2 linked regions of the Caenorhabditis elegans genome follow. The protein of the gene in region 1 purifies or fractionates together with the protein of each later gene. This does not show direct contact. Each region holds a gene or a part of one and is shown in the gene's direction. Other genes may lie near its edges.

Region 1 (4,160 bases):
CCATAAATACTGAATTGAACACAATTGTAGGTGAAAACCAACAGATGTAGAATCCATAGAAAAGTACAAAACTGATTGAAGTATAGGCGAGTTTCTTCTCGATTACATCTGCATACTTCCTGAAGCCAATACTTATTATCCGATTGGAAAATAGGGACATGGTAGCTGCACACGCCATGCACCAGGTATCTGAAAAATTTATAAGCTACTAGAATATATATTCGGTAAAATTTATTCTGATGATTTTTTTTTTCATTAGAATAAAATTTGCATAATACCGATCCAGGAGACGTTGACAGTTCGAAAATAGAAGAGATTTAAAATGTTCACTTAATCTAAAAGACTCACTTAATGCAATTCCTCCAGCCACATAAGTAAACGTTGGATACATGCAGAACACGGTTCCCATAATCAGCATAGACCCGGTAAAAAGACAACTGCAGCAAGTTGCACTCATATCAATTAGAGCCAATAGAACAATTATTTTATAGCACGGATGTCTGATAAGTTTGGTTTTAAATATAATATAGATAACAGGAATGTACAACAACTCCACGAGGACCCCAAAAACGACCAATGGCCATCCAAAATACGGTCGTTTCTGTCCAGTCTTCTCCCATTCCGTGAAATTTTTATGGGAGCAGTTGTAATAGGGTATAGCTTCAACACTACCATATTCCAACAGACGATTCATTGCGGAATCTAAATTTTTCCCACCTGGAAGAAATCAATTTATACTGCATTTGATTATTATTTCCGTGTTGTGTAATAATGAATTATAGCCGGCGGGCAATAACAACAATTCTTGCAAACGGTGAGAAAATTGTATCTGTTTTGATTTCTTCATATTACATTCATAATTGGAGGCGTTCCGTTCCTTGTTCTGGAGAGCAAAAATAAGGTACAATTCTGGTGATGATGATCACATAATTTATCAGAAATGCTTCCGTGTTACAAAACATTGTTTTTTTTTTGATTTTCAAAAATAAATGGTTTGGACTTTTAAACCTTCAAGTTAAACACCAAAGTTTACTGAAAATCAGTTTTAATTTCGACTATACGAAAACATTCATCGTTAAGAAAATCATTACTTATATATATAAAAAAATACATGGAGGATGTTACAATTGTAGTTTGTAGTCTATGACGTCACACTTGCAAAGTGTTTCAGGCTGTTGAAGGAATATTGGTTTGAGGTTAGTGGCGGGACATGGTCGGGGTAGTGTAGTAGTACTGTAGGGGTACTGTAGGGCTACTGTAGGATTACTGTAGTTTGGGAAAAATTGGTTTTTCGTCTTTTGAAGTGATCTTGGAAACTTCGGGAAAATTATAAAATGTTCCAGAACCTTCTGGAAATTTCCGGAAATTTCTGGAATGTTACAGAACCTTCTGGAAAATTCGAGAAAATTCTGGAATGTTCCAGAACCGGAAAAAAAATTAGAAGTATATAGTCGGGGTACTGGGGTTTGTTGATTTGAGTTATAAAGATGTTGAAACTGCGCCAGTCGATGTCCGCGCCAGAGGCGCGGTCAGCGGCTGGTATTAAATATTAATCGTTACGTTGAATACAGAATTAATCAATTCAAAATTATGATCACGTATGGCGGATACGTCAAAATCACAAAGCTTTGAAAACTCCTGTTAAATTTCCTTCGTTATTGTTTTTTCTAATATGAAAATGAGCACTCGTTGTTGAAATTATTGTATTAATAAGTTTTATGATGAATTGTTCGATTAAATACCTTTTTTATTTAACATTTTTACTGAAAAAATTGATTGAAAAATGCAGATTTTTTTTCGTACTACGGTAGACGGCGATGTACGCAATACACGATTAATTGATGAGCAAACATTAATTCGAATTTCAGTTTTTATCTCTTTTTTATTGAAAATTCACGAAATTACTTGTTTTTTTGTTGAAATTATTGGAAAAATAAGTTTTTAATGCCACAAAAGTGTTTGTAGTTTGTAGTATAAGCAAGTTTTCGGCGATTTGTTTGGTTTGTCTTCTTCTACCGTCTTCTTGTATTTTTTAGTATACTTTTCAGTCAAATTCAACAATTTAATTTGCTTGTTTTTCAGAATAGTACAACCAAATAACTCGGAAAATGGAGGAGTTGGATTCGATCAAAATGATAGTTTTACTCACCGCTCACCGGTGAAAGCTTCAAAAAACATGTTTTTTTTTCAAAAATTTCAAATTTTCCTTCCAGAGCTCCATTAACTAAATCGGATCTTATTCGAAATGACACAAAAGCGATCAAATTGTGCATTCTCTACGAATTTCTACAAGGAACCCCAACTCTGAAAGCATTCGGAAATTTCTGTGAAGCAATTGGAAATGATGTGATAGAATATCGGGAATTCGATTATTGGTACCATCAAATTGGAGTCGAATGTGAAGATTTGAATGAGGATATTTGGTAAATCAGTTGTGAAATTACAGGATTTTATAAAATTATAATTAAATTTAAATTTCAGTTGGAATCCGAAGAGTAAGACACTTACCGATATGCCGCTTAATATTGTTGATACAGTTTTGGATAATGTTAAGCCAATTGATAGGTTAGTTTAAAGCTGAAAATCTGCTGAAAATCACAGTCTTTTCAGATTAGTTCTTCGAAAAGTGTCTCAAAACCTGAGAAGTATCACAAAAGCCAGAGAACATGGCTACAAGGAAGTTTCGCTAACCGTTCGTCCGACATTCGCATCGATTCAAATTGACAGGCCCAGGTGGCCAGATTGTGACAAGATTAAATACATCAGTCAAGATGATGGCAGTTGTAATGTGGTCTTGGGCGGAAAATCGTCTAAAATCGAAGGAATCAGCTATGTGAAAGCGGCGGTGAACGATTTGGCTCAGCTGATGGACAATCCGAAAAGTCAATTTGAAGTAATGAGATTGGCTGTCTCATTGAACGGTCACCCACTCGAATTCGAAGAAATTCATGACGATGATCCCTTACTTGAAATTAAGAATCGCCTCCGTCGAGAGATTTCCGTGAAAATCGCCGATGCTCTGAACGGTGTGAAAATCCAATTTCAAGTGGAAACGCTCATTATTCGTGAAACGATCATGCCGGCAATTGTATCGATGGTTTCCCGCTTTAAACCGGGAAAAGTTGAACGAATCCACATTTCTAGATACAAAATTGAGGAGAATCGGGAACCAGTCGACGAACTTGTCAATCTGGAATCATGGAAGAAGGCGATAGATATCGAAACGAATACGGTGTCAGAGATTCACCTTCAGATCGATCATGTGATGCATTCGAAGCGCTTCGAAATTGCTAAGGAAACTTTTTCAGAGAAAGAAGCTATCCAAATTCGAGATGTAAGTGCAAAAAAAAGCGGACTACTCTTCAATAATCACATTTTCACATTCAGATTCTCACAAAATCGACGCTCTTCGAAGAAGGTCTCATCAAACTTCCGGATTATGATTACGAAGCTATCGGAAAAGTCTTCGACCCGGCATACGTGCATACCGGGCCCAATGCCATTCTCTACAGCAGCAACGACGTTCAATTTGTCATCGTGTGTGATGAGGATCGGTTCAGTACGACTTGAATTGCATTTTTCAATGAAATTTAACACTTTATTTTTCAGAAAACCACGGATTTCACCCAGAACACTCGAGAAATGGCAGAAAAATTGACGATTGAGTTGGATTCGAAAAAATCGTTCGTTTAAATGATTTTTAAGTTCAAAATTTCCCAGCTTCCAGGTCCGATGCTCCTTCACTATTCGACATGCCAAACAGAGTGCTTCATGAAATTATGGACAACGTGGATCCGATCAATCGGTATTTTTTCAGCCATTTTTCAGCCATTTTTCAACCAATTGCAAGAAAAATTTCAGACTTGTCCTGCGAAAAGTCTGCCGAAAATTGAGGAATTTCCTAGATAACAGAGATCCCTGTTTCAAGCATGTTGAACTATCGATCTACAACAATTCCTATTGGATTCATCTGCACAGCGAGTGTTGGTGCTCGACACGGAACACCGGCCTCGGAGGATATTGCACGAATAACTTCAAAAATCCTGTGCTGATGCGAATTTCTAGGAATTCCTTAAATGAGATTCTACGCGTTCTGGAAGATTTTCTAGCGATTCCGAAGCTTGAAATCGACCATTTTCGTATTAAAGCAGCTATGTTCC
Region 2 (6,333 bases), on another chromosome or scaffold:
ATGATTTCGTATTTTCAGTACCAATTAAGATTATTTGAGTATTATGATTTATTTATGGACCGGAACTTTCTCTTTTTACGGGAAACATTAATTTTGATTACACAGGTGTTAGCAATGGGTCTGACAGCAACTTTTCTTTCGATCAAAAGAAACATATGAATGAAATTTTTGCGTACGCGTAACACCAATACACGCTGCGTTTTTGGGATGGCAGTGACGCAAGTAGGAAAAGAATTGCTACAACCGGATTCTGTCCAACGCGGAGGATGAAGCCTCCCAACACATTTTGAGAACACTCAATTCCATCTGTACGGCAATACGTTTCGAATTTTTAATTCGACTTTTTTTTTAAATAAAACTTTCGACTTTTTTATACATGTGCTTACTTTGAATTATATATGTTTTATTTGAATGTTTGTAGTGTGTTCGCATTAAAAGTTTTAAAATATTATCTGAAATTGACTCATATTCTGTTTGTTGTAATCACTGTTGTTCTATTAATGAATTTGCCTAAAACATATAAAACATCCGACAGCGTCATTTTCTTTGTCTAACAAGTCTCCTTGCAACATGACACATTTGTGACGTTTTTCACTAGTTTACAATCTCTAAAAGATCATATCCAAATTTAGTTACATGGGTTTTCAATTTTAGACCTATTCTACATCACCTACCAGTTATTGATAATATCACTGACACAAAAAAGTTCGCAACAATTGCAGCAATATCTATTTGCAAAGGATACAAAAATCATATTACAAAAATTCAGTACAAATTTGGTGATTCAGTAAACTAATCCCATCTGTAGCCTGCTTCCAATTAAAAACTTTATAATCTTATCTATCCAATTCCATTATCTTTTTGTAGCTGTGATTTTTGAAGAATGTCGTTTTCCAGAATTGAAATCGGTTTTTTTTGCAAGATTTGACTGCTTTGCACTTTTTCTGAATCAGAAATTAGTAAATAATTTCTACGTGACTACCAGTTGTACTGCCATTTCTTTGAAGTGGACCAGAAGTGCAACACACTCTAAATTCCAATATGTGGCCAGATAATAAAGATAACACTGTGATCTTTCATACCTCCAGTCACTTTGCCCCCAATTTTTTTCGTCACCTTTCCTTTTTCGTGTTTCTGTTTTATTTCGCCACGTACATTCATTCTACCACCACATTTGTTCTATTTGAACTAAACTAGGATCCACTTGCCCTGTCTGTGTGGGTGGTGTCAAAAGTAGGTCAGTTATTTCCAAAGCAACATTGCCTCCGGTAGGATGAGGGTGACGATTGGGTGTTCGTCGCTGCGCTCATTTTCCGAAAGCAAAAGTCTTTCTGTGAGGTACTTGTCGGTGTTTGCCTGTAAATTAATTTGCATAGAATACAGCTGTGAAACCAATCGGATACACCGATGAGTTTCGGAGATGTCAAAGTGGAAGATTACATCGCATTTGTTCTCATTACCTACAATCGCTTCCTCTCATTTTTCCTTTCACATAAATTTTGACACCCTCCATTGGACAGAACTTCTATAAAGAATTTGGATTTTATATAATTTTTTTTTAACTTATATAATTTTTGGTCAAATTTCATTTTTCTCGGTTTTTCGACGGACCATTCCCCATATTAGTAGTATTCCCTTAATTTTTTTTAGACTTTTTTGCTAAATTCGGATATTAATAAAGATGTATATAATTTTTGCAAATTTGAACCTAACATAGAGTTGAACACAAAATATATAAAGTCAAAAATGTACAAAGTTTTTATTGACTCTATTTAAAAAAGTTTACCCGTTTGATTAAGACTATAAAATCTTAATTTATGTTTTAATATTTTATTCTTCAAGAAATAAAACACATTATGGAAAATCGATATTTAAACACAAATTTAAATGCCAAAATGTAGTTCATTATTGAGTTTACGGTGCTTACAACTGTGACTACCCACAAACTCCAAAAATGCACAAAAAGTCACATTGATTATACCTATATGTTATCAATTTTTATCTTAAACACTTTCATTATTTTATTTTTTTGTTTGACGTCCCGCTTATTGTGCATGATAAAGTATACAATTTCATTTCAGGTGTAGCTATGGAGTGGCTATACTGGCTATACTGGTTGTTAGTCCTTTTATTCTTTGGATACTCATTCTATCTCCTGCATATCCCACTTCCCCATGACATATCCGACAGGTCGAAGTTGACAATCGCTGAGTTTCTGATGCGTCTTTCTAATGAATACTTAGTAAGTTATATTTTTAAATTTTTATTTTAAAATAAACGCAACTAATTTAGGGAGATTTGATCGAAAATGTTTTTGGGCCAGAAGTTCGAAATAAAGTTACCAGATTTGTCATGGGAGTAGGGTTCCTCATCCCTACGTTGCCACCCAAAAGAATGATTGTAAGATAAAACAATTTGGTATACATGTAATCTTTTAATAATTTCAGAGAAAACGAATAAGAATCCAAGGAGTTAGCTGCATTGCTTACGAAATTGAGAAGCCACAAAATGATGGGTTGCTTATTTTTATTCACGGTGGTGGATGGTGTGTGGGAGAAGCTCGTAAGTTTTTTTTTTCTGAAAATGCTTAGCTGTTCAAAAAATTTAAATCATCAAAATTTGAATTTTTCAAACCAAGAGGCTTTAATCTGTGAATTTTATTTCAAAGCACTGGAACAAAACCGTTTCGTGAAAAAAACAAAAACTGCTGACTCAGAAGTGGGAATAAGTGTTCTTTAGAAAACAATTGTATTCATTTTGTGACATATTCTTCTCAATTTTAAAATTTGGTACTTAAAATTAGGGGTCAACTTGAGTCTATTCGAAAAATAATAAAATTAGGTATACCAGGCCGATTTGTGTAATTTCAAAAATCGGATAAGCCGATTTCCAAATAATTATTGGCAAAAACTGAAATTGTAGTATTGTTAAAATTGAATCAATTTTTGTTTACATTCAAACCTGTTATTCATTTATTTAAGGTTAAAACCGATAGAAAAAATTTCAAATAAAAATCAATATAAAAAAGTTCTTTTTCCAGACTATTTTCAGTGTTTGAGGATTATTAAAGGTGGAATAGCGCCATTGGGGAAATTGCTTTAAAACACGACTATGGTACCACAATGACCGAATATCATGATAAAAAATTCAAAAAACTTTTCTAAACTTTATATGATGTTTTGAAAATTGGAAAAATCTCAGTTTTTGCCAAATTCCGATTTGAATTTCCGACAAGAATTTGTTCGACGGAGCGCACTTGCACGTTTTTATTTTTATTTATTGTTTTTTTTTCTCATTTTCCACCGATTTTCTATGTTTTCAGAGTATTTTTGCATGAATTTTGAAGAACAATTCAAAATAAATGCAAATTTTCGGTTTAAAAGCTACTTTACAAGCGTAAATCTGTGAAATTAATTAATTAAGGTTTGAAATCGTGTAAATGCGTTTTTTAAAGATTTTTTACGCCTGTACGATTGCTTTTTAATCGAAAATTTGCATTTATTTTGAATTGTTCTTCAAAATTCATGCAAAAATACTCTGAAAACATAGAAAATCGGTGGAAAATGAGAAAAAAAAACAATAAATAAAAATAAAAACGTGCAAGTGCGCTCCGTCGAACAAATTCTTGTCGGAAATTCAAATCGGAATTTGGCAAAAACTGAGATTTTTCCAATTTTCAAAATGCCATATAAAATTTAGAAATTTTTTTTGAATTTTTTTATCATGATATTCGGTCATTGTGGTACCATATGTGTGTTTTAAAGGAATTTCCCCACTGGCGCTACCCCAACGTTAAAACTTAAATATTCAAAAATAAGAAGACTTCCGTAATCTTTCTTCAAGTCAAAAAAAAACTTTAGGTTATTATGATGGAATCATGTACCAGCTTTGCGAACAAATTGGGTGCAATGGGATATCTATTGACTACCGTCTCGCTCCAGAACACCCTTTTCCAGCCGGACTTGATGATTGCCATGCGGTGGTATCTGAAGTTTGCACAAATGGGTTTGTTCTTCAATTGCATAGTTATTTAAAAACTTTTAAGTATGTTTTATTCCAGATTGTTGGACCTCCCTTTCAACAGAAAACGAGTCTTGATTTCCGGAGATAGCGCAGGAGGGAATCTGGCTGCAGTTGTATGTCAACGATTGCATCGGGAGAAGAAGGACATCCTGAAGGGACAGATTCTCATCTATCCAGTCACGCATGTTTTCAATTTCACTAGTCCGTCATATCAAGATTATTGGAAGTCATATGCTGGAACTGCACTGCTCAATCCAAAGCATATGGCAAGATGGATTCTGTTATATCTTGGTATTGAAGCATCAAAAAATAACATCAAAAAGGTGATGAATTCTCAACATGCACTACCGTAAGAAACATCTTTTAGAGATTTTCAGTATTAAAATTGAGCATTTTTCCAGTGAACTCGCAGAGCAGAAACCATATTCTCAATGGCTTTACCATCTAAACAAAAGGAAACCAGAAAAGCTGGTTGATCAACATCTTGCCAAACAGTTCATAAAACTAGGAACTAATCCAGACGTGTCACCAGTGTTTGGCGATACTGAAGGATTACCACCAGCGTTAGTGCTCACTGCGGGATATGACGTACTGAAGTGAGTTTTTTTTACTTGCAATGGAAAAATTGTAGGAGGAAATTTTTAAAATTGTGTGTTATGGAACCGTTGATATAACTAGTGGAATGATTAACTAAAGGCATCTTTATTTAACTCTAACAATAAATGGACCAGTCGAAAACTAACTGCGTTTGAGAACACAACATTATGTCATCCCAAAATTTTTTTGAATTTGAATAAATTTATTTTGAAATGATGTTCACTCTTTGAAAATAATTTCACTTTTTGAAATCAGAAAAAAATTCTTATCCGAAAATCTTGTTAAAAATGCAAGACTACATGAATACGTTATTGCAAAAATTACTTTACAAAAACGATATTTGCATTGTTCATTGTATATAGTTTGAATGCAAAAATGTTTCATTGGTCATTTTTAAACTTCAGACCATAAAACTTGATTTATTAGAAGTTATTTAGAAACTAAATAAACATAACAAAAAATTTGGAAAAAAAAACACTTCGTTTAAACATCGAGAAAGAGAATATGAACATTTTTGCTATAAATTTTGAAGCCTAAACTCGTATTATTCCCATACCAACTTTCACATAAAAAACTATTATCATTTACAGAGACGAAGGAATCCAATATGCGAACAAACTGAAAAAATCTGGGGTTTCAACGGAGTGGCGTCATTATCCACGAGCATTCCATGGACTTTTCAACATGCCTAACAGCAAAGATCGAAATGAAATGATGAAAGCAACTGTTGATTTTGCAAAATCAGTTATCTAGATCAATGTCGTTACCATTTTTCACAATTTTATCTGGTTTTTTACATTTTAGAATATCATGTAGTCGTTTAGTTGTCCCATTTTTCATTATTTTTAACTTTCTCCCAGTCACTTTTACATGGTCGTCCAATCGGTGTTCTCAATGCGCAATCTAGTCATTTGTTACCAAATTGTTAATTTTTCCTTTTCCTGCCTTTGCTTTTCCGCTGAATAAATTTTTATTGATTTTGGGTGTGTAACAGGGTAAAAAATAATAAAATTGTTAGATGAAAAATGTGAAAATTCGAACAAAAAGTTTAAAACCCGATTAATATAAGCCTTATCTAAATATAAGATAGGAACGGGTTTTCAGGCTGGACGTTTTCTTCTTGGAATCCGTTCAAAAGTTGCATGCTCTGCTCAATTGTTGATGGTAACGGTTCAATTAGATTAGCATCTTTTTCTTCAACGATACTCCAAACCTCTGAAAAATACAATGTGAAGCACACGTTTAAGTAGTTGGAAATGAAACTGTGAGCAATCAGGGGAAAAATGTTCGCATTAAACAATTTCAAAACTTTCATTCTCACGATAAGTAAACTACTTCATTCTCACGATAAGTAAAAACTTATGATTTTAGAAAACAAAACCGAATTATGGCGTGTTTACTTTTAAGACTGCGCAGTAATAAAAAAATTAGCAATAACGTGCAAAAAAACTAACTAGGGAGTTATTCAACCATACGGTGCGATCGGGTAAAAGTAAACGTGTTATGCGATAGCTGGCATCTTAGGCTTTCAGAATCTGTAATTTGTTTCGGCGGAAGACCTCTGTGAGTCTGGAAATTTTCATCTGAAAATGTAGTACTGAAATCAGTGCATTTCCTATGTTTAACAGTGGATTTTGTCTCTGGCGCAAACAGAAGTCTCACCACAATGGTGGAAGGGCGAAATCATCGCTTCCGTGGTCGAGTGGTGAACGC

The links.
Region 2: the proteins of fbxa-194 (region 1) and F16F9.4 fractionate together in Caenorhabditis elegans (co-fractionation; one large-scale study listed by BioGRID). This does not show direct contact.

The regions. Positions count from the first base shown.
Region 1 is NC_003283.11:19,776,657-19,780,816, reverse strand, and holds fbxa-194 (F-box domain-containing protein), read left to right. Parts: upstream 1-2,108; coding exon 2,109-2,158; intron 2,159-2,213; coding exon 2,214-2,423; intron 2,424-2,481; coding exon 2,482-2,565; intron 2,566-2,610; coding exon 2,611-3,334; intron 3,335-3,387; coding exon 3,388-3,570; downstream 3,571-4,160. Other genes in the region: fbxa-118 (F-box domain-containing protein), read left to right, coding at 3,643-3,683, 3,728-3,805, 3,862-4,160.
Region 2 is NC_003284.9:8,459,087-8,465,419, reverse strand, and holds F16F9.4 (Alpha/beta hydrolase fold-3 domain-containing protein), read left to right. Parts: upstream 1-2,059; 5' UTR 2,060-2,089; coding exon 2,090-2,242; intron 2,243-2,292; coding exon 2,293-2,400; intron 2,401-2,447; coding exon 2,448-2,562; intron 2,563-3,860; coding exon 3,861-4,005; intron 4,006-4,060; coding exon 4,061-4,372; intron 4,373-4,424; coding exon 4,425-4,619; intron 4,620-5,210; coding exon 5,211-5,373; 3' UTR 5,374-5,599; downstream 5,600-6,333. Other genes in the region: F16F9.3 (EF-hand domain-containing protein), read right to left, coding at 5,696-5,835.